Linked DNA regions of Macaca mulatta. The protein of the gene in region 2 interacts with the protein of the main gene of each other region in a biochemical or structural test. Links are inferred from orthologs where the notes say so. Each region holds a gene or a part of one and is shown on either strand. Other genes may lie near its edges. The genes, in order: NR4A1, MAPK8, DUSP10 and ELK1.

Evidence for each region.
Region 1: of the proteins of MAPK8 (region 2) and NR4A1, one has a biochemical effect on the other in vitro, tested with the Homo sapiens proteins (2 studies listed by BioGRID). The link is inferred for Macaca mulatta from reciprocal best matches to the Homo sapiens genes MAPK8 and NR4A1.
Region 3: the proteins of MAPK8 (region 2) and DUSP10 form a complex in vitro, tested with the Homo sapiens proteins (2 studies listed by BioGRID, with this or other methods). The link is inferred for Macaca mulatta from reciprocal best matches to the Homo sapiens genes MAPK8 and DUSP10.
Region 4: of the proteins of MAPK8 (region 2) and ELK1, one has a biochemical effect on the other in vitro, tested with the Homo sapiens proteins (3 studies listed by BioGRID). The link is inferred for Macaca mulatta from reciprocal best matches to the Homo sapiens genes MAPK8 and ELK1.

Annotation. Positions count from the first base shown.
Region 1 is NC_133416.1:59,216,607-59,223,041, reverse strand, and holds the start of NR4A1 (nuclear receptor subfamily 4immunitygroup A member 1), read right to left. Parts: upstream 4,079-6,435; 5' UTR 3,985-4,078; coding exon 3,891-3,984; intron 1-3,890. UniProt on the Homo sapiens protein: Orphan nuclear receptor. Binds the NGFI-B response element (NBRE) 5'-AAAGGTCA-3'. Binds 9-cis-retinoic acid outside of its ligand-binding (NR LBD) domain.
Region 2 is NC_133414.1:60,722,555-60,728,141, reverse strand, and holds part of MAPK8 (mitogen-activated protein kinase 8), read left to right. Parts: intron 1-2,983; coding exon of another isoform or gene 2,984-2,988; coding exon 2,989-3,134; 3' UTR 3,135-5,587. UniProt on the Homo sapiens protein: Serine/threonine-protein kinase involved in various processes such as cell proliferation, differentiation, migration, transformation and programmed cell death.
Region 3 is NC_133406.1:79,588,651-79,594,401, reverse strand, and holds part of DUSP10 (dual specificity protein phosphatase 10), read left to right. Parts: intron 1-2,429; coding exon 2,430-2,801; intron 2,802-5,751. UniProt on the Homo sapiens protein: Protein phosphatase involved in the inactivation of MAP kinases. Has a specificity for the MAPK11/MAPK12/MAPK13/MAPK14 subfamily. It preferably dephosphorylates p38.
Region 4 is NC_133426.1:47,661,122-47,667,469, forward strand, and holds the start of ELK1 (ETS domain-containing protein Elk-1), read right to left. Parts: upstream 3,845-6,348; coding exon 3,635-3,844; intron 1,737-3,634; coding exon 1,293-1,736; intron 584-1,292; coding exon 152-583; intron 1-151. UniProt on the Homo sapiens protein: Transcription factor that binds to purine-rich DNA sequences. Forms a ternary complex with SRF and the ETS and SRF motifs of the serum response element (SRE) on the promoter region of immediate early genes such as FOS and IER2.

The DNA.
Region 1 (6,435 bases), on a different chromosome or scaffold from region 2:
CCCGCCACCTCGCCCGGCTAATTTTTTGTATTTTTAGTAGAGATGGGGTTTCACCGTATTAGCCAGGATGGTCTCAATCTCCTGACCTCGTGATCTGCCCACCTCGGCCTCCCAAAGTGCTGGGATTACAGGCGTGAGCCACTGCGCCCAGCTAAAAAAAGTTAATGTGTAAAAGACTTAGGACAGTGCTAGATACACATATCTGCTACATGTCATTATTAGGAGAAGTTCAATGAGGACACACACATAAAAGCTAGCCACAGACCCTGGTTCCTAGTCCAAGGCACCCTGGGCACCTGGCCTCTCCTTCCAGGGTGGAAGCCAACTATGTGCCTCACCCCACACCCCAGCCTCTTCAGCTCTCCCCTAACCCCGTTCAGCTAGAGTACCTTGACCCACATCTCTCCTTCTCTTCCTCCACCCACTCCAGTGCTCTCTCCTCTCGACTACGCTCCAGAGTGAGGGCAGGACCAGGCCTTCACTGGCTATTGGACTGCCCTTAAGACCGATGAGGTCTGGGAAAAGAGAAGGAGATGATGGGAGCTAGGAGGGACAAAGAGGAGGAGGACCCCAGAGGGTGGGCAATGGGCTTCCTCGTCCTCCTGACCTCTGCCCAAGGTCTACAGGCCAAGGGGAGGACCTCTGGCCCACAGTACCCAGGCTCTCCCCTTACGACATTACCAGCACCCCTCCCTCCCGATCCTGTGGGTATGATGGGGAGCAGGAAAAGGCCACAGGAGAGAAGGAGGGAAGGGAGGGCAGACTGGAACATCTGGAGCATCTTTAACCCTAAACAGAAAGCAAGACGAGGCTTCCAATCTGCCCCAGCCCATGGACTACACCTGCTTTCCAGGATGACAGTGTCATCCTCCCATCCCCTGGAAACTGGTCTATAATTTCCCCCAGCCTTGTCTTTTCTCCCTACCAGCCCACTGCTGAGAAGGAAGGGTAGGGAGGGCCAAATACCACCTACCATAATCAGGCCCAACCTGAGCACCCAGCTCTTCCCCATCTGGTTCTCAGAACAGGGGCCAGAGTCTGGCACCTGGTGGTGCCCACAAATGATTTTAGCATCTTCAAGCAGGTATCTGTTTCCCTGCCTGCTCCAGATCAAAATGCCCCCCTCAATAGTCACACCACAAGCATTTACTGAGGACCCCCTGGAAGCTAGGCAGCGTGCCCCGAACCACAGGAGAGCCAAGAATGAGCACACCAAGATCCCAGAGCCCCAGGATCTGATAAGGGATGAACCAAGGTCAAGGACAATCTGCACTGGGCAGAGGGCAAACCAAAGGCTGAGTGGGCTTGGCGGAGAAAGTGACCCCCAAAATGGGGTGGACCATCAGGCCAGATTTCAGTCCCCAGTTCCTGCTCCCCACCAACCTCATTTCCCAGCCACTCGCTGTGGTCCCGTCACATGGGCCTTCTCTCCCCACTCAGGGCCTCTGCATCCACCGTTCCCTCTGCCCAGAACTGGCTCTTCCTGATCAACCAGGTTTCCATTCCCATGTCACCTCCCTGAACAGCTTGTACCCCCACCCCACCACACTAGCCTGATTTTTATTCATCAGAGGTCTAATGTTCACATCTGTTCACTGGTTTATTACCTGTCTACCCAACCAGAATGTAAGGATGCTGTCCATCAGAATCACTGCAGAATCTGCAGTCTCTAAACTCTGCTCAGCACTGGCAGGTGCTCAGTAAGTGTGCGTGGAAAGGTGGGGGGTGCACATGCCTGCATTGGAGCTGTGCTGGGAGGAAGGTCAGCTAGGTGGGGACAGCATTCCAGCTCAAGAGCTGTCCCTTCCATTTGGGGGCAGATCCAAGAGCCAGAGCGTTCTTCCTTATGTTGAATCACATCCCTGACTCTAAAAGTCCCTGGATCCCTGCTCTGTCCCCTGCACTGGCCCACAGGAAGCCTCATTCTAGTCCTTCCTAGCAAGTATTTTAGTCTTTTCTTAACTAAACTGCTCCTTGCAACAGGACACCACTGACAGGCCCTCTGCCTGACAGGCCCTGGTGGCCTCCTGAGTACAAGCTCTACATTGGCCAATATCCCTACCCAGAAATGGGAATATTACTACTATTAGCAATAACAACAGCCGCTAATATTTGTTAAACAACATGTGCCAGATACATTAAGCACTTTACATGCATTTTCTCATTTCAGCCTCACAATGCTATGAAGAAGGGATTATTATTATAAACATTTTACCAATGAGGAAACTAAGGCCCAGAAAGAAATGTTAAGCAACTTGCCGAAGGTCACACAGCTAGGAATTGGCAAAACTGAGATTAGAACCCAGGGAGCCTAACCAAGGAGTCCAGAATCAGGCATTCTTGCTCCCCCTACCGCCCACTTGGACCTGTGTAGTGGATGGAGGCTTCACACTGCACAGAGCAGTCCCACAGCCTCCGTCCAGGGAACATGTCAGAAGCTAAGGGCCTGGGTTCCTGGGCCTTTGAGCCAGGCACAGGGCCTGAACTCCTCAGCTGACTTTCTTAAGTCCAGCAGAGGCCTCAGCACAGGCCTCGTCAGTCACATTCACATTGTTAATCTCAGCCCATCCTTCTGCCCAGTTGCCTTCAATTAGAATCTTGATTTTATACTGTGCACTTGTCATTCCTCACAGCTCTGCATGACTACAAGGAGTCGGCTGACTTCCTTTTTAAGTCTTCATCCAAGTCACCGATCTTAAACGTTCACTTGGAGTAGGTCTAGGAGCAAGTCTTGTAGCCCCACCACTAGGGCTCCAGGCCAGGCTGACAACAGCCCCCAAATCCATCAGCACCCACTGGGCATAACTGTTGTGAAACCGACCTCTGCTCAGCCTGCGTTTTCCCAATGTGCCGCTAATACTAGCCCCACATCCAAATTAACAATTCACTGTAAACCACCTCTGTAGCGTTTCCCCTATCCACCAGGTCATCTATCAAAAACGAAGGCATAAAAACGATATGAGCCTGCCAGGCGCGGTGGCTCACGCCTGTAATCTCAGCACTTTGGGAGGCCGAGGCGGGCGGATCACAAGGTCAGCAGTTCGAGACCAGTCTAGCCAATATGGTGAAACCCTGTCTCTACTAAAAATACAAAAATTAGCCAGGCGTGGTGGCGGGCGCCTGTAGTCCCAGCTACTGGGGAGGCTGAGGCAGGAGACTCACTTGAACCCGGGAGATGGAGGTTGCAGTGAGCCGAGATCACGCCACTGCACTCCAGCCTGGGCAACAGAGCGAGACTTCATTTCAAAAAAAAAAAGGGGGGGGGGTAGGTTGTGGAGGGGAATGAGCCAAGTCAGGGAACTGTGTCCTGTCCTCAACACAGACCACCATGGTAAGGAGGTCTGGAAATACCGCGCCCCCACCCCTCCCAATACAAGGAGGGAAGATGTTGCGGCAAAAAAACAAAACAACCACCAAAAAAACACGCCTGGGAGACACAAGCCCCAAGTCCTAATCCCCAGCTCCGCCTGATTCCACGAGACCCCTAGCTTTGGTTTCTTGACTCAGTCCCGTGAAGGGGTTGCATCGCGCAGCATCCGTCCCTCCCGGCTGGGTCTCCTGGTAGACTCCTGGAAGCTCCCGCGCTCCTGGAACCGGTTCCCGCAGCCGGCGGGGAAATGGAAGGAATTTCTCCGGCCTGGCCACCTCCAGCGCCCCTCGTGGGCCAAACCCCACCCTTGGCGGGCTGGGGAGAGAAAGCCTTGGCCGTCGCCCTTGGGGACTGACTCTGAGCCAGCAAGTTCCGCTGGGAATCCAGTCCCTCCCCCGACTCCCCAGTTTCCAAGCGGGACTCCGGCGTGGCCCTGAGCCCGCCCCAAGGCATCCACTAAAGACCCGAGATTGCCCAGCCTTTCTGGGGCCCACCTCCCGCCACACCGGCAGCCCCTCACCTGGCCCCGCGGGCTCCTCTAGCTTCTCCACTCCTGCTTTCCGGGGTCGCGCACCAGCAGGCCCTGAGCTGCTCTGCGCCGCAGGGGCGCCCATGCCTGGAGGCCGGGGGTCGCGGGCGCCGCGCTGGGACCCCGCCAGTTCCGCCGCCGCCGCCGCCTCGCGCTCTTGCAGCCGCGCCGCCGCCGCTCGGCGCCCCCCGCCCCCAGGAAGCCCCCCGCCCGCAGTTCCGGCCTCGCCGCGCCCCCCGCCCCCGCGCCCGCGGCCGCCCGCGCGCTGTCCCAGCCCCGGCGCGCCTCCCCCGGCGGGCGGGGCGGGGACCGTGACGCGTGCCCATTGACGTCTCCGGAATCCCGGCGGCGGCGGCCGACGCAGCCTCATCAATGGGGCTAAAAATAGCTGCGCCCGGAATAGCCGCGAGCGCCCCGCCCCGCGGCTCCCCCTACTCCGCACACCCGGTTACACAACCAGCGGCCAGAGCCGGGGAGCTGGTTCTCAGGTGAAGGTGCCGAGGCCTCGCTCACACCTCCCGAGGCGGCGCACCTGGGGCTAGGTTATAAATAAACTTACCCGGGGCTTCCCCAGGAAGAGGTGGAAAGAGAGAGGCCCAGAGAGACTCGGTGGCGGCCGAAAGTCACACAGCGATTCGGCTACTGGCGAAGGCAGGGCCTGGCCTTTTGAGTCTGCGGGCGCCCTGCCTGCATCGCTTGGCATTCATGCCATCCCAAGGGCAAGGAACCCAGGTAGTAGAGTACCCAGCTTCCACACGAGAAGGCAGCTTACAGAAAAATAGGACTTCCTCCTGAAGAGGGCACTGCCCGAGGTGGTGGTGCAGGCCCCGGCAAAGCCCAGATGATGGATTCACTGACCTGGCTGCTCCCATACCGCTGTGTGACCTAGGGCAGTCACTTGACCTCTCTGAGCCTCAGCTTCATCATCTCTAAAACAAAGATGATATGATCAGATTATCCACCCTATCTGGCTGTCAGGATGATAACAGCTGTGGAGGTGCCTTGTACACAGTAGACCCTGAGGGTTAGTTCTCCCTGCTCTCCCCAATCCACAGGAGTGTTTAATGCACTCAGAGACCCACCACCGTGGCCAGGAAGCCCTGGAAGGCCCACCCTCCTCTGACCGGAGTCTCCAGGCCCAGGCTTCCACGGTAAGAATCTTCCTGGGGGTGCAGGCACTTGGAAGGTTTCTCTCTCCCATGTGACTGGAGCCTTCTTTGGAAATGGGAGAATCATCCTGTCCTGAGCAAATCCTTCTCCCCCATCAGCTGCCCACTCAGGAAAGGCTGGTCAGGAAGGCCAGCTCAAGGTTGGAGCAATGGTGTTGGGGCTGGCTGGGTGGGTGGGGTTTGGGGTTACCATCTCTGTTCCTATACCTCCATACAGGCAAGGTCATTGGGGAACACCCATTAGGGAGGATGCAGTCATGTGCTCTGCTGTGCCAGCCACTAGTCACTGCTCCCTTTTGGAGCCACCTTAAATTATGAGCATGCTATACAATCTCCAGCACCCAGGCCAGGCCCCACGCAGCAAAGAATCTCTTCTGTGCTCAAAATTCTCCAAAAGAGGCCCCACACCTCCACTCAGCCCTCATTCCAGGGGCTGCATTCCTCTCTCCACCCCGCTGCCCACCCCCAGAAATCCTTTGCTGGACCAATCCTAAACTCTTGGTGAAACTCGGAATTCCCTTTCTCTCATTCTTCATAATGATCCCAAGAACCTCTGGTTTGTCTCAAAATCACCTCCCAAGAACCTGTACATTTCTCTCCCAGGTTCAAGTATTAGGTCAATTTACAGATAAAGAAACTGAGGCTTCAAAAATGGCAAGGTGTCAGGGTGGGGGAAAGGGACAGGCTTTTCCTCACTCACCCTGTGTCCTCCTCTTTCCTACCCCAGCAGCTCCTTTCCGATGGGCTTCTTAGAGGAGCAGCTACCCCACCCCCTCTTTTCCTTTCTTTTTCCAGAAGTCTAACTTTTGAAATACATTTTAAAATATTTGCCTGTGTGGGAGAAATACATTTATTTAGACAGGAAGGGAAAAAAAGGGCTCAGTTACCAGTTTTTCCATGAAGGCTTCCAGCCCACAGAGGTCTCTCCTTTCCATAAATACTTTCAGCATAACTTGTCTTTATTATATATTCTCCTATTTATAATCAAATAAAACATATTCTAAAATGTGGAATGCCAGAACACGCACACTTAGGGTGGCATGTGGAGGTGGCGTGAGATGGTGGAAGAAGCAGTCTCTAGAGGTCTGGGATGGACACTGGTTGTCAGAGGACTGAACAGCTGTGGAGGTGCCTCGTACACAGCAGGCACTCAGAGTTAGTTCTCCTCCCTGCTCTGCCCTAGGAATGTGATTTCCCACAAGAGGCTCTATCTCTTAGCAGCTGTGTGGCTTCAGGGAAGTTACTTGCCCTCTCTGGGCTTCAGTTTTCTCACCTCAAACACAAAGATAAGAAACCTATCTCACAGGGTTGCCATGAGAGTGTCTCTTTGATAGCAGACATAAAGCATGGAGTCTGGCACATCGTGG
Region 2 (5,587 bases):
CAGACACTAGTGGTTTATATACTTTATTTTATTCAGCCCCTAAGACCCTAAGGTATAGGATTAATGCACCACGTTATGGATGAGGAAACTGAAGTTCAGAAATTTGAAATAACGTAAGATTCCAAATCTGTTATGTAGATGAACTAGTACAATAACTTCAGAGTGCGTGGTTTTTTCAGCCTCCCATTTTGTTTCTGGCGGGCAACAGAGACTTCTCTGGCTACAGAGGTTAGGACAGTTGTATGAAGGAGGTGAAATTTGAGCTGAGCCTTGAAGAGTGAGTAGTATTTCAAAAGATAGGTCTTGATTTTGAAGTAAAACTATGCCATTTTAATTCCTCAGAAACTTCTACTTTTGAGGAAAAAAATAGATGTATCTAGCATGTTGTATATGGGTAAGGTTTTTTAAAACTATAGTGACATTGTCTACTATAAACATAATTGTTTAAGCCATTTTTTGTGGATTGCTTTGACATTTTTGCTTATATATTTTAGAGTTGTATATTTTAAATCTTTGATCAAGAATGCAGTCTTCCAGATTATAGTGTAGATCCTGTTCAAAATATGAATGGGTTTTGACAGCTTTTACCTATTTTGGAAATGGACTTTTCTCTACAATTTACTTCTAACAAATTTAAAGCTCTATTTTAAATGCTTCATGTAATTAATTAGCTTTGTATTGCTACATAGTAGTAGTATAACTGAATTGTTCATGATAGAGGCTCAGGTGGGATTTGGAAAGTTCATTATGTGGGACAGTTTTATACTTTAGCATACTATCCAATTGAGTGGCACAGCTGGAGTGCCAGATGTTTGAGTAAATGTAATAATCTCATGAGTTAGAGCAGTTGTATTTGTTCTTAATTTGTAAGTGAATAATTTGAATCTTAGTCCAACACTTGCTTATGATCACAAAATAAGTCAGTGGAAAAGATAGAAATTGAGGTTTCTAGACATCTTCTGGATTCTCAGTTATAGCTTGCAAAGATGAGTATTAGCAAATTAAGCTGTTATGAAAATATTCCGCTCTTGATTATGTACTGTAACAAAAGGAGTAGTGCTTGGTAAATCAAAATATCAGATAACCATAGTACCATTTCCACTTGATTTTTAAAATGAATTTTATTCTTTTCCCCCTTTGAGTGCCTTCTTATATTTATTTTGGTTTGGCTAATAGTAAAGTAAGTTTGCCTGCCTTGAGTGTGTAGAGACTCACTTGAGAGAGGAATGACCCACCTGAGACTAATGATTTTCTATATTATTACCATTCAGATATTTGAGAATTTACTGTATTGCTTTAAAGAAAAAACAAGTGTGTGGTTTTTTTTCCTTAGGTACTTGATTTTTAGATTAAAAAGTTAATGCATTTAAAAGTTAATTTTTATCAGATTAAAACATTTGGATAAAATAATAGACCCTGAACTAGAGGCATATATAAAAATTATATATGTTGGATCCCTTTTATGGTTTGAATGTTTCAGTACAAGTCTTAGAAACTAGCCATTGTGTACTATGTATGTTACACAGATGTATCATACTGTTCAGTCAGAAAAGGCTCATTCCAAGTATTGACTGAACTAAAAAGAATATACTATCTCAGTTTCACTCTGACTGAGAAGCTAATGGACCTTTCTTGGGTCTAGGAGATTATCACCTATTTTACCTCTCATCTCTCAGGCCTGAAATACTCATCCTGCTTTTCTCTTCTGTTTCAACTCCCATCACCTGCTTTGTCTCTTGTGGTTCCATTCCTTTCTGTCTCCCAGTCCCCTCCCTAAAGATTTTCCTATTCCCACTACACTGCCTGTTTTCTTTTTGCATTTGAAGAAAAGCTCGCAGAGGACCTTTCATATTGAAGTGTTTTATTGCTTATCTGGACAGAATGGAGAGATGATCTCAAATACAGATGCTGGGTTCAGGAGCAGTGGTTTTCAGCCATATTTGGTTTCAGCATCGTTGGGTGCCTGAACCTCACCCTCAGAAATTCTGCTCAGTGTTCCATTTGAAGACCATTGATTTTATTTCATAAATGTATTCTTGAGAACTTTTAAGTAACTTGCGTTATTCAAATTTGGAATGACCCTTATTTAGTGTTCATGTGGTTTAAAAGTACTTAGCCTAGTGCATGAGTTACCTTTTTTCTCTATACCCCAGTGTAAGTCATTCCTGTCCCCTTCCTAAACCAATCCCCTTGAGAGGATTTCTGTCTCGAGCTCAGGTATTCGTGTTACTTTTTAAAATTCAGGAAGTCCTTATTAGGTAATACTTTCGGCAAAAGAAACTGTTTGCTCCTACTTTATCTATTTAATAAATCCATATTTCTACTTATCAAGTATTAGCGTAGAAATAAGAAGACCCAAGTTTACTTAACTAGGCCATTTGAGTGACACTGTCATGTCCCATAACCTTGTATAAACTGGGGCAGTTGAATTAAGGTTTCTTCCTGTTAAAATTATTTTATTCCTTGGCGCTTGCTTTAAAACAAGATGTGCCAGAAGTACATCTTGTTTCAAATTTGAATCATTTGAATTTTTCCTTTTTAGTGCAAAGCTATAAAGACTTTTTTGTAGGGAAGTAGCTTTTAACTTTTGTAGTTATACAGTCCTTTAAGATCTTCTGTCCAAAAAAAGGCATTACAGACAGTTTTGCATGTATTATCAGCAGTATTCACACGTACCCTGAAGCCCATTTGTGGATCTTGCTGCAGGACCATTTCTAAATGTGGCTCAGATGTAAATTCTTGTCTTAAACTGGAAAACACATTCATTGAAAGGATAGGACTCCACGATTCTAGACATTTTCAGAATTCTCACCTCATAGCTGTCAATGAAGAGTGTTTTTTAGTGTATTGGATATCATTTGCGATTATTTTTAGTGAGCCTTCTAAACCCAAGAGAAAAAATTACCACTAGAGGCAGGCAGTGCAGTGCAAGTAGCTCGATCTGCAGCTGTCTGCAACTGATTTGCTGTTTTGTTTCTCATAGCACAGGTGCAGCAGTGATCAATGGCTCTCAGCATCCATCGTCATCGTCGTCTGTCAATGATGTGTCTTCAATGTCAACAGATCCGACTTTGGCCTCGGATACAGACAGCAGTCTAGAAGCATCAGCTGGGCCTCTGGGCTGCTGTAGATGACTACTTGGGCCGTGGGGGGGTGGGAGGGACGGGGAGTCGGTTAGTCATTGATAGAACTACTTTGAAAACAATTCAGTGGTCTTATTTTTGAGTGATTTTTCAAAAAATGTAGAATTCATTTTGTAGTAAAGTAGTTTATTTTTTTTAATTTCAAGTGATGTAATTTAAAACCTAAGTTGTGTTTCAAAACAGCAACAAAACTGTATTGTATTTTTTGCTGTAATTAACTGTATAATGTAAACCTAATTATTTTATCATGTTTTAAATTTTTTGCATATTTGCTTTATCTTATGCTGCTGATTTTTTTAACTGAATTTGTAAGATTTTGTTTATCAAAGCAACTATTATGTGGTGACTTGCCTATATCATGAATTATTTAAGATTTTTATAGTTTTTTTTATTAGAATTTATTTCAGATGTTTTGTTCATGATACTATCCTTCAGGGTTATGTGCTTATCAATGAAATAACCCCAGAGGAGTGAGGGAAAATAACTTGTAGCCAGTTATATTCAGGAATAACTACTGTAAATGATGAACGTGTTAGGAGACCTCCAATATTTGCTACTTGCCAATCCTAATTTAGTTACAAGAATTGGTAGGCAATCCTACTTAATTTTGGCAAAAGCCCCGTCATCTAAGTGGCAGAATAACTCAGAGCATGTCTTTGAAGATGCTGGGCATCTACCACCACCTTATGTCCCCACCCTACCCAACAGAAATAAGTAAAAAGAACATGGTGTATTCTGCAAATTTGTGGCATGCTCAAAGTTTATGATCACATAAAGTCAAGAGGATACTTCATGAATAATACATTTCAATGCAAATAAACAGATGGTTCACTTCTACTAGCTATGAGCCTGTTTTTGTATACACTGAGTTAATCTACTCAGGCTGTAGGTCCCAGCAATGTTCTAGAGTCTAGTCTTTCCCTTTCCTGCAGCTTCGGGCCCTTGGACCTTTCCGGTTTCCTATTACTTGGAGTGTCTATCAGTTGAACACCAGTTGTTCTGGTGTTTCTGGCCATTTGATTCTACTTGTAGCATAATCATATTTATACTAGCTATTGGGAGGTTCCAAAGCCTACCTAGATTTGTGTAGGTGATGTATCAAATGAGCAATATACCGTTCATCTGAAAATAGTAGCACACAGCCATATATAGGATGTCATTTTCTAAGGACTGTTTCTTCACATTGAGCAGAGCAGGCATAAATGGTGGTTATTTAGTCTGAGTCTTTTATTTTTTTATACCTGATTTTCAACATAACATGCAATGTGGATGTCGAGTAGTGTAAGAATGGTGCTGCTCCTGACAAGTGTATGTTAACTGTTTACATTTTCTATCTGCAGAATTATTTCTCTATAACTGAACTTTTCCCAAGTAAAATGTCTTTGAAGTCTCGTTATTTCTGAAATACGGTGTCTGTAATAGACCCAGGCACCTTTTAAATGATCTCTGGAACAAGAGGGATTTCATGTAATGAACTAGGAAATGCATACTCACATAAGCAGCAAGGTTCTAGGCAGAAAGCCCCTTGGAATTCGTGACCAATGGGAAGAACAGGTGTGGCTTAACATGCAGTGTCTGAAAATTTGCTTGGCATTTTATTCATATATTTAGTGCAAAATTCCTTTTGAATGAGATATTTTACATCATTGTTAATGTGCAATATTTAAGATTAAAATACGTTAGCCTTTTTATATACTTTGAAATAGCAGGTTTGTTTTTGATGGCTTAGAGTCATGATTTCCAGCTTCCCAGCCTTTTTATCAGTCCCTTTTCTAATACAACAAGGTGCATTAATTTGATTAGACAAATTAGAGTTTTAAGACTATAACACCTCTTGAATTGTAGACAGGAAATACTGGATTCACAGTTTTAGCAGAAATTTGAGAATGAGTGTGTTTATATTAATTTGACAATTAGCTGTATTTTCTGTAACGTAGATTATGTCACTGTTGCACTTTCACAGCAGACATGCTTTCAGAAGGTTCTCTTATTTTATGCTTGATTGCTGATAAGCCATCTTTATTGATACAGATTTTGGTTAAGTAAGGAAAACCAGGTGTCTGACTGTATCATTTGTTGTAAACGCCAGCTGCCACTTGCCAACCATAACATTGAGTTCAATTCAAAGAAAACAAACTCGAATTACTTAGTGTAAACTAAAATATTTAACAAATTATATCCTAAAAACAAGGTCTCTTTGTTAAATGTTGTGTGCCCTAGGTTTTAAATTACTACATCTAAATACAATTTTGCTCTTAAATTTGTTAAGCTAAATAGGTATTGGTTCTTTTTATTTTGGAATCCTTTAAGCATCTTAAACATTTTTTTTCCCAAGAGAAGTTACAAATAACATTTCTGTCAGGTAGTACTTGTGTGAAACCACCTTTCTTGTTCTATAATTTTGATTTTTCAATTTTATATACTTAATATATTCACTGTCTTAC
Region 3 (5,751 bases), on a different chromosome or scaffold from region 2:
TTGTTCTTTCCTCTCATCTTATATGGAAAAATGTAACAACTGCCGCCTTTGAAGAAAAAAGTGAATTAGGTTCCCATCACAGAATCTGTGTGGAATTTGGGTTTCTGTGGAGGCAAAGCTGAGCAGATTTTAACTCTTCAGAATCCCTTTTGTGGAGGCTGTGATGATGACAATGGGTAGTTTTTATCTTATTTATTTTTTAAGTCTTCACTGGTGAAGTTATTTTCAATATTTTCTTTCTTTCTACTTCAGAATTCTCTCTTCAGGTTCAAAGTTTATTATCATAACTGCCTAGCAGAATGAACTGTCATACGTAAGGGCAGAGGTTAATTCTAGAAATCAGCTGAAATTTGTATACAGCTCTTGTTTTTCTTTTCAAAAAGCTGAGGTAGGTTTTGACTTTTTACTTTCGATGAGTAAAGTGAACATTGTATTGCCCTTTGAGTTTTCTTTGGATCATAACCATACCTTAAGGAGAATATGATTTCTCTCTTTTACGCAGCCAGCTCCGGCTCCATTGGTTATGAAAAGTCATGAGACTCGGTCTAGGTTATGGTCTGGAGTTTCCCACTGTGGTTTGTCAAAGATGAGACTTGAAATGGAGAAGAACATATGCTAGGCTCAGAGGCTAGTGGACAGATAGACTTCCTGTCCTTATTGCAACATAACCGTCTCTTGTTCATGCTTTGGGTTTTCTGCCTTATCTCCTGGAACTATCAAGACAGCCACAAGCCATCTGTCTTTGAGGGTAGTAGATGTTGTGTTCTGGTGGCTTTCAGCTAATAGGAGTTTTCTACTTCCCCCTCTTTTCAAAGGGAAAGCCAGAGTGTATCTAGTTCTGTTTGATTTGAATTAGAGTTCAGTTGGCACTAATAATGTCAATCCAGATTTTATAGCACTTACATGTATATTATATAATTTGAGCTTTGTAATAATCCTTTGGGTTTATCTGTGCATGTCATTGTGTGTAAAAATATTAGCAGAAAATTTAAACAATAAACTGTGATCCATAAATTCCCTAACTTAAACAATTGTTCATTTTTTGTACAGTCCTTCAGCTTTTGTTGAATGTTTTTTACTTAGCTTTTTAAAAATTTAATATTAAACCAAAATATTTTATTTATTTTCACGTCGTTTTTGCAACTACTCTTTTAAAGGCCACATAATACTCCATGGAATGAATGTAATAACTTTTTTTTCTTTTAATTTGTTTTTGTGTTTTACTTGGCCTTTTAAAAATATATATAAAACAGATAATATTGTAGTGACCATCTCCATGTATCTAGCTAACTGTCTTTGGTTAGATGATTTCCCTAAGATCCATTCCCAAAATGAGATTGCACTTGTTCAGGGGAAGATTTGCATTTTAAAAATGGAGAAACAAGCACAGTTTATAAGCTTTTTATGCTAGATGCATAACTCTTAGGAGGCAGAGCAGAGCCGTAAGCTCAAAAGTATGCATTCACACTTCCACAAGAGGTTTCTTGATGGGTTTATGTGCCCATAAGCCTTGGAAAGTCGAGGAGTAAGCAACTGCGCTGCTCTCACATTCTGTTCTACTGAAAGTCAGGGTTGACAAATGTCAGGGACCTACATGGAGAATATGAAAAAAGATTATAAGAGCAATCCATCCCACCCCACCCTGGCTTGTCTTTTCCAAGTACTTCTCTGCTGATTTCACCTGTGGGCAATCATATAAATAATATAAATTAAAATAGTGACTACTTGCTGAGCTCTACTGTGTGCCAGGAGATGTGTTAAGTATTTTACACATACTCATTTATCTGAGGCTCACAGTTGCACTCAAAGGGAGACGCCATCACCCTCAGCTTACAGATGGTGGAACTGAAGCACAGAGGTAAATGAACTTAAGTCATAGTGTCAGGAAATGATGGTACCCAGAGTATAATCAAGGTAACCTGTCTCTTCCACGTTCTTGCTTGTAACCACTCTGCTGTATTGGGAGCACACTTGGCCCTCTGGGTGAGGTGAGCTATGAAGGGTGCAAGACGTGCTCCTGTGGTGCTGAGATTACACCCGAGGAGGTCATCTGTGCCTTTCTTGGCTCCCAAAGCACAGGGTTCTATGTAGGCCACTGAGCATATGGCTCTTTGAGGCAGGTCACATTTGCAGCTGAGGAAATTGCCTGACGCTGCGTGGAACTCTTTCTAGGGGAACATGCCCTCATTTGTAGAAAGAGCACATTTCCAAAGTGCTCCATGCAGTGATACTCCCCGAAGCTTGTCTTGGGTCTCTAAATGGACTTTTATTTTTTGTTTTATTTTTATTTTTATTTTGTTTAAATACATATTTATGTGTGTATTTAAAATATGCTTGAGCTACAATGCAAACTCATTCTAATGGGGAGGTAGCATTTTCTGCCAGCTCTGAAATCTCAGTCACTCTCACTTTCTGTGTTTGTGTTCCAGGTGGACTTAGTAGTTTTAAGCAGAACCATGAAAACCTCTGTGACAACTCCCTCCAGCTCCAAGAGTGCCGGGAGGTGGGGGGCGGCGCATCCGCGGCCTCGAGCTTGCTACCTCAGCCTATCCCCACCACCCCTGACATCGAGAACGCTGAGCTCACCCCCATCTTGCCCTTCCTGTTCCTTGGCAATGAGCAGGATGCTCAGGACCTGGACACCATGCAGCGGCTGAACATCGGCTACGTCATCAACGTCACCACTCATCTTCCCCTCTACCACTATGAGAAAGGCCTGTTCAACTACAAGCGGCTGCCGGCCACTGACAGCAACAAGCAGAACCTGCGGCAGTACTTTGAAGAGGCTTTTGAGTTCATTGGTAACTGTCTCCCATAGGGAATTTTCATCCTCTGCCTTCCTTTTCCCTCCGGCTCTTGCTTTGATATCAAGTTCAAGGTTTATTCCTATGTTGCAAAAAAAAAAAAAAAAAAAGCTGCCCTGGAGTTTCGAAGGGCTCTGCTAACTGAAACAGCCTAAGCATTCTCCTAAGTCATAGCCTGTCAAGTGTATCCAAGCCATCAAGATGGATATAAAAGGGCAGTAATTGAATTTGTTGGGATCCGTTCAACTAGAAATCCTCATCCCTCAAGTTCTCAGTGAAATAGTGGTAGGAGTTAGCATTTATGTGCTCTATAACCAGAAAAATGGATGGAAAGTAAGGAATTGGAGGTCAGAGCTGGTGCTACTGCTACTGGATCTACTAGCGCCCTTCAGCACCTTGGAAGCAACATCTAGTGAATATGACACCCCTTCCAAACACACCCATGCCTTCCGGTCACCCTACTAATCCTTATTCATCGAGCATAAGAGGAGATGGTACTAGCTTTCCTTTGACAGTGTGCCCCAAACTCATTGAACTAGGAAAGGTCAGGTTGTGTAGACAGAGTAGTTCCCAAGGAGGAAGTTTTAGCAACAGCAGGCTTTAATCCCCAGAAGGAAGCAACTATCAGCCTAATCCTAATCCTAATTTCTGCAACTTCTATAGCCCCAAACTGCTATAAGACTCAAAATATCATTTTAGGAACACCTGCAATATAGCAAAACTCAACATTTGTTTTTGTTTTGTTTTGTTTTGTTTTTAAGTAACTTCAACTTTTATCACCATAAAGGGGTGGTCTAGTACTTTTCCTAAATATTACAGCAGGTTGTTATTCCAGGAAGAATACAGTTAAGTGGAGTGGGGTGTTCCTTCGCCAGAGAAAAAAAACAGCCTTAGGTTTAACAGCCACTGGGGTCTGGTGGATTTGCTGTAGTGTTGACATCTGCGGCCATGTTGCCAAGCTGTTTTCCTTGCTAATTATGCCGTCAGCACAGGACCATGGAATATTGAGTCTGAAAGGAAATTCAGGGTGATCACTGAACTTAGAGAAGGAAAGTGACTTCTCTGAGGTCATAAGAATTCTAGTGTCCAAGAAGGGGCCAGAATCCAGGGTTTTTGACCCAAGCCTGAGGCCTTTTCACAACATACTAAGGTGATGTTTCTGATGCCCTATTAAGTAATTCCCAACTGGCAACACTGAGGATGCAGAGATACTGCAGATTCTTTATTAATAAAATCTGAGCCAAACCTGGAACTCTGAGGAAGAAAAATTTCTCAACAAGCAGATGAGGGACTTCTGGTTGATACATGGTGTTATGACTGAGATTCCATCTGACTTAATTCCAGTTGGAGGAAGTTAGGAAATTGTTTTCTATTTAATGACTAGGGTAAGATATACTTGTTCTAAGAGGATTTCAACCAAAGCTCTCACATTCCTTATAGATTACTCAGGCTTACCTGCCTTTTTTTTTTTTTTAAAGGAAAACGAGACCAATAACAAATAGCATTCAGCCCGAAGAACAACTCCAAATCACAACCTGCATAGGCGCAATTTTATTTTCATCGTTATGTTATTGGATAAACTGAAATCTTACAGTCTTGCGTTAGGAAAAACACAGCAGGTTTTATAAACATAATAGCTTTCACTGAGAGTCTAATATAAATTAAGCAGCATCTAAGTTTAGTGTTTATGCCAGTTTGTTTATTCCTGAATCAAGTGTGTGTAGTGGAACCAGTGGTCCAGCCAGGCACTTGGAAGCTCATTCTCTCATCACCATGCTTTCTGGTCTTGATTTGGAGCTCAATACTGTGCACTGAAGGGAAAAGGTTGGAAAAAGAGAGATGCTTACTTTTCTTGAAATACTGTTGACTATGAGAAGTAAACCTCATCTGTAAACTTTTAAGATGAAAATTTATATCAGGTTTTTTTTTTCCTTGGTCCACTGGTGGCTAGCCAGTAGATGTAGTTTAGGTGAAATCGCTATTCTCTCTACTCCTTCTCCTTCCCTACCTGTTTATCTAATTGGTGTTCCTTCAAGGAAGCTTGCTTAGAGATGCGTTAGAGTCTAGAAATGTCGTTAAGAATCTGTTCAGGCAGTGCCCACACGCTATTGTCCTGAGCTTTTAATATATCCGAAAACTTAGCAAGTCTTCCTCTTTCAATTGCTCTGGATTTTGAACCATTGCTGGGATTCCTCCATCTTCTGCATTATTGCCACATTGGAATGTCATACGTGGATGCAAATGGGGTTGAACGCTTGAGAGGTGACACCCTGGGCCTGTATGCTACTGGCCTTTAGTTAACTTTGCAACAACTGGATTTTCTGGGGAGAAGCTGAACATAGCATGTTTCTAGTTTAGCTTTATTCCTTTAACCTTAATCAGGGTTTAGTAAGACTAAAACTCTTATCCATTTAATTCCCGTTCCTGTACAGAGCAATTCTATAGAATAAAGAAAGTGTTTTTTCTCTATTACAAGTGAGAGAGTTGTTGTTACTAGCTTTAGGTTTGTTAAGTCACACAACCAAAAATTGGAATTAACATCCTTAATCCAAAGAGGAACTGTTATATATATATATATATATAACATATATATATACACACACACACATACACATACACATACATATATATATGTGTGTGTGAGTGTATATTTTCATGTGTTGGTATAATTTTTCCCTCCCTCTCTCCTTTTCCTTCATTCTTTTTTTTTCAGTAGTATAATTCCAGAAAATAAGAGAACAAGACATTTAAGAGAGAGGTTCAATGACTGTTAGAGTTGACTTAATCAGTAGCTTGTTCAGCGTGAAAGTTAACTGTGTTATAGGTCTGGCTTCAGGCCACTGTCACCTGTGAAGCAAACTGTTCCCTCTCTTTAAATGTAGATGTATAGCTTCTTGTTCATGCTGCTATCAACTTTAGCCAGTTCTGGAAGTTGTGACATAAATAT
Region 4 (6,348 bases), on a different chromosome or scaffold from region 2:
TCCAGCGTCAGCCCAGTCAATCACACTCGAAGGCTCCACCCTCTTCAGGGACAACCACATTCGCCCTCCTCTGATTCCCGTTAGTCACCTGCCACATGCCAGTCCCATTGGGGTTGGCACCCACCCATCCCACACCTCCCCAGGCACTCACCAATGTATGTGTAGGAAGTAGGGATGGAGTTAGCGCCGGCCCAGGCGCCTGGAGGCCGGAGCCAGTTCCCGATCCTGGGGTCCGTTCGGGTCCTGGCCCACCTAGCAGGCTTGGGCTGAGTGGAAGCTCTAGGTCCCGGGGCTTCCGGCCCTTTTGTGGCTGGGAGATCTCAGGGCTGGAAGCCACGTGGCCGCCCGCCTGCCCTGCGGTGTCCATAACAACCGCGGGCAGCCGGGCTGGCACGCCCTCCTGTGGAGGGACTTCTGGCTCGGCCTTGGTAGTTTCCGGCACAAACCCTCTCTCCCTGGCAACTTCCAACTCTTCCTTGGGCCCTTCCACTTTCACTTCTGGGGGCAAAGCCCGGCCCAAACCTGGCTCCACATTCAGCTCTTCCGATTTCAGGTTTGGGGCCTCGGGCGGAGTCAGGATGACCTGGGAGAGGAGCAGGTACAAAGAGGGTAAGGATTGTTGGGGCCACAGGATTCTCCTGTGGGCTACCCAGTGATTTCCCCGGGAAAGTGGCACTTGGTACTGGGGACATCAGAGCAGGTTCTCCAACAGGACATAGGACTTCATCAAGGAAGTAGGGCTTCCTCTGGGGCAAGTCCTCCTATGGGACAGGGGACTTGGGGTAAGACAACCTGAAGCAGGTGGGAATCTGAGGGATATCATCCTCATTCATTAAAACAGTGGTTCTCAAAAATTTACCTTCCTCTGAACCAGCAACATCTGCCTCATTTGGTAACAAGTTAAAAATACAAATTATTGGGCCCCTCCCCAGCCCCACATATTCAGAAACTCTGGGGGTGTGCCTGGCAATCTGTGGTTTAACAAGCCCTACAGGTGATTCTGATGAGCGCTAGAGTGTGAGAACTAGTGCATTAAACAAATATATTTCAGGCACCTACATGTTCGGCAGCTACTAACTGTAGCACAGTATTCTCCCCTTTCTGTCTCAGGGTTTGTGTAGCTCTCTGTCCCATCCCTCCTTCTAAGAGGATGTCTGTGTTCTTCCTTCCACCATTATCTCCTTTAACAGGAGCACTATGTCTCTTCTACCAGCCTCCCTCATCATCCGGGGATTACACATCCGTCCTCTTTACTGCCTCCTCTTACTGGATTTCTATATTCCAGTCCTTACCTGCAGAGGCAAGCCGGCTTCCTCAGCCTCCAGGCAGGCCTCCAAGGGGCTTGGACTGGTGCTCCTGCTCCCCGAGGGGGGCGCTGCTGCTCCTGCAGGAGCTGCATTGGGGAGCACCACAGCAGGCCGAGGATGAGGGGGTGGCTGTGGCTGCAGAGACTGGATGGTGAAGGTGGAATAGAGGCCCGAACGCATGTACTCGTTCCGGCTGCTGCGTGCCAAACCACCCGGGCCTGCCATTCCTGCACCCTTGGGTGTGCCTGGCTTTCCAGAGGCAGTGTCCCCTGGGGTGGCATGTACAGCAGCAGGGGCCACATTTGGCATGGCGGAGGTAACAGACACCTCTGGCTGGGGCGGGCAGTCCTCAGTGGAGCACCCTGCGACCTCAGGATAGGACACAAACTTGTAGACGAACTTCTGGCCGCTCACCTTGCGGATGATGTTCTAGAAAGGGAGGAGAGGAACAGAGGGCCTGAGAGGAAAGGGGCAGGCTGGAGGCAGGGTGTGTGTATGTTGGGGTGGAGTGGTGTTTCTCTTCTCCTAGTGGCTCTCTTCCCACTTGCCCCTCTCTGGCTTTCCTGTCCCTCCTCTGTAAGTTCCCCTCTCAGCCTATCAGCCCATTTCCTCTCCCGTTGGTTTCTACCTCTTTCCTCTCCCCCTAGATTCCCCTTATCTATACCCCTCCCTAGTTCCTCCCCTTTCTCTCTTCTCTCCACAACAATTCTTTCTTTAAGCCCCTTCCCATCCACCCCTTTCCAAGCCTCCCTCTGTCACTCTCCAGGTCTATCTATCTGATTTTCCCACCCCCTCCACACTGTGGCTCCTCTTCACAATGGGGCCCGTGAAGGGAAGGTAGTAGGTGTGGGAGCAAGTCTTCTTGGCTCCAAGAACCAGGGGTTCACAGGCCAGGCCTTGTGGGTGACTGTCAGGACACAGTTTTGGAGACTAGCAAATGCAGTAAGACAAGAAAATGAAGTAACTGATATAAATGTTGGAAGAAAGTAAATTAATATAGATGGATGGGGCGATGAATTATTAATACAGAGGATTATTTGAAGCTAATGACACAGAAGTGGAATAGGGCAAGGTCACTGCAGAGGAGAGGGCGAGGAGGCCTCATTATTAATACCACTGTGGAGGTTGAAGCTAAAGCGGTAAGAAAATGAAGTAACTAACAGCAATTAGACAAGAATATTAAAAATACTGGTATAAATATTGGGAGAGGGCCTATATCAAGGCTGGCTTGGGTGGGTCACAGAGCATGTTTGGGGTTTTTCAGGTCTGGTGGGTCTCAGAGATGACCTAGCGTTCCCAGAGGGCACAGTGAGGGAGCCTCATTACTAATATTGTTCTGGAGGGTTGAGCTCAAGGAATAAAATATGAAAGTGGAATAAATGCCATAAACTATGAAGGGTATGCAGCATAGGTCCAGGGCTGTTCTTGGGGGCACGGGCAAGAGGAGTGTGGGAGCACTAGGGCATTCTGCGGAAGTCTTAGTGCTGGTCAGATATGTCACAGGGTGGGCCCGTGTTTCTCAAAAGAGGAACGAAAAGGGATATTCATGAATATTGTTTGGAAGTTTCAGCAGGAGGAATAAGAAGATGAAATAACTTGTATAAATATTGGGGGGAGGGGAAACCCAGCAGTGGCCTGGGGGTCTGAGAGGGCAGAATGGGGGAAATTTTAAATTTTAGCTGTAGGAATAAGATAATGAAAACAATTGATATAAATATTGGGGTAGACCAGTGCTGCTCTGGGAATTTAAGAAGATAGGGTGTGGAAGCTGGTACTAAACATGTTGTTACAGAGGTTTTAGCTTAAGGAATAAGAAAATAATTGGTTAAAAATGTTGGGGTCCCAGAGGACAAAGTAAGCAAAAGTTGGTATAATACTGTCAGGGAGGTTTTGATTCTAGGAATATGAAATATTCTGGAATAAGAGAAGATTATGAAATAACTAGGGAAGCCCAGCACTGGTCTAGGGCTTCCAGAGGACAGAATGAGGACCAGCCATTATTAACCATGTTTTCAAAATGTTGGCTATAGGAATATGACACGAAAATGAAATGCGCATGGCAGGGCAGCATCACTGTGGGGATCTCAGAGTGGGAGTAGGAGTCAGTATTAATAATGCAATGATGGTTTTTGCCAAAGCAGTAAGACAAGAAAGTAGGTGAGATAGTGCTTAGGGGCCCAATACTGGCCTGACAGTACCAATGGATGGGTTAAAAACTGATAAATTTTAACATTGTTTTCAAAGTCATAGCTATGGCAATCAAAACAAAATAAAATCTCTGACATAAATGTTAGGGGGGGTCCCAGCCCTGGTCTGAGAGACTGTACCTTGTCATAGTAGTACCGCAAGGCCCGGCTGAGCTTGTCGTAATTCATGTTGGTCTTGTTCTTGCGTAGCCCCCACAGCCGGGCCACCTCCTCTGCATCCACCAGCTTGAATTCACCACCATCCCGTGAAGTCCAGGAGATGATGTGGCCATTGCCTTGCTCTCTCAGCAGCTGCAGCAGAAACTGCCACAGCGTCACAGATGGGTCCATCGCTGGGGGAGTGCTCACGCCATCCCAGGGGTACCTGGAGGGCAAACAGCTGAGTTGAGAGGCTGTGGACATAGGAGGGGCAGAGGTCAGGGGGAGGAGGATTCCTTTTTTTGTCATCTTTTCTCCATCTCTGTCCTCAAACCCTACCATCATTCCCTAAACATTCCCAGACTAACTTCTAGCTCCCCAATCCAGCTTGGGATGCTCCCTGTGATGGGATACAACTCATGAGTATCTTAGGATGGTGTGAATGTATTTTGCCTGTGGGACAAATGTGAATCTGTGGCGGTCAGAGGGCAGACTGTGGTAGGCCAGATGATGCCACCCCTGTTCCACATCCTAATCCTTGGAACCTGTATGTTATTTATACTACGTAGCAGAAAAGAACTTTGCAGATGAAATTAAGGTTACAAACCTTAAGACAGGGAGATTATTTCTGGATTATTTGATTAAATTCAATCTAATCATATGAGCTCTGAAAAGCAGATGATGAAGAAAGAAAGGTAGCTCAGAGATGTGATGACAGAAGAGGCAGGGGAGATTCAAAATGTGAGAGGGACTCAACCTGCCATTGTTGGCTTTGAAGATGGAGGAAGGGGGCTCAGAGCCAAGGACTGTGGGTAGCCTCTTAAAGCTGGGAATGGCCATCAGCTGATAGACAGTAAAGAAACAGGGAATTCAGTCCTACGACCTCAAGGAATTGGATTCTGCCAACAACTTGAATGAGCAGGAAATGGATTTTCCCCTAGAGCCTCCAGAAGGAACACAACCCTGCCAATACCTTGATTTCAGCCCACTGAGACCAGTATGGGACTTCTGACCTATAACAATTTTTTTTTTTTTCTGTGGACTCTCAAAATTCTCCTCAGGTCAACAGGTATAACAGCTATAAATATAACTCATTATTTAAAAAAAAAATTTTTTTTTTTGAGACGGAGTCTCGCTCTGTCACCCAGGCTGGAGTGCAGTGGCGCCATTTTGGCTCACTGCAAGCTCCACCTCCCGGGTTCACGCCATTCTCCTGCCTCAGCCTCCCGAGTAGCTGGGACTACAGGTGCCCGTCACCACGCCTGGCTAGTTTTTTTTGTATTTTTAATAGAGACGGGGTTTCACTGTGTTAGGCAGGATGGTCTCGAACTCCCGATCTTGTGATCCACCTGCCTTGGCCTCCCAAAGTGCTGGGATTACAGGCGTGAGCCATTGCACCCAGCCACAAATATGTTATTTTAAGCAGCTAAATTTGTGATAATTTATTACAGCAAGAATAGAAAATTAGTTCCATCCCCCTTATTTGAGTGTTATCTGTATCTTCTACATACCATATAAATTCTACCATATAAATGTTAAGTTTTTCAGGTTTTTTTTGCCAGAGCCTTGCAAAGGCTGCTCACTCCACGTGGGGCTTCCTTCTTCTGCCTAGCAGTCTTTCTCATCTTTCAAGTTCCACCTTGAAGGTCCTTTCCTTTATGAAGCCGTCCTAAAACTGAACGCCTGATCTCTCTGTCCTGTTACTATCCCTGAATGTTCTCTTTGTTTTTTTTTTTTTTGAGATGGAGTCTCTCTCTGTCGCCCAGGCTGGAGAGCAGCGTAGTGGCACAATCTTGACTCACTGCAACCTCTGCCTCCCAGGTTCAAGTGATTCTCGTGCCTCAGCTTCCCGCATAGCTGGGATTACAGGTACCCACCACCACGACCGGCTAATTATTGTATTTTTAGTAGAGACATGGTTTCACCATGTTGGCCAGGCTGGTCTTGAACTCCTGACCTCAAGTGATCCACCCGCCTCCCACCTTGACCTTCCAAAGTGCTGGGATTACAGGTGTGAGACACCATGCTCGGCTCTGAATGTTCTCTTTCTCGATGACAGCAATAATTAACATCTACTGAGAGCTTAATACACATCAGGCACTGTTCTAAGCAGAGGCAATATGACCTGCTGGACAACTGCCCAGGCACTAGGGCCAGACTGCCAGTGTTTGAATCCTGGTTCTGCCACTTATTAGCTGTGTGACCCTGTGCATATTCTTTTTCTTTTCTTTTTAGAAATGGGGTCTCACTACGTTGCCCAGGCTGTTCTTGAACTCCCAGGCTCAAGCAATCCTCTCTCCCTGGCCTCCTAAAGTACTAGGATTATAGGCATGAGGCACCACGCTTGGCTGATATTCTTTAACCTCTTTGTACCTCAATTTTCTCATGTGTAAAACAGGGATAATGATATGCCCATTGCTAAAATGGGGATAACAATACCTAGTTCATGAAGATATTGTATAGATTAAATATTATATGCCTGAGGTATATGATAAGCTCTAAATATTAGTTTCTGATTTGTTCATAGTCCCTTATCTGCTATTCCAAAATCCAAAATGCTCTAAAAGCAGAAAGCTTCTTATACCTCTTTTGGCAGCAAAACCTGATTTGAAATGAAACAAGGCCCTTTCTGGTCTTTATTGATTCTCACTTAGTGTGAGAGTGTTCATACATTTTGCTGCATAAATATGAACACA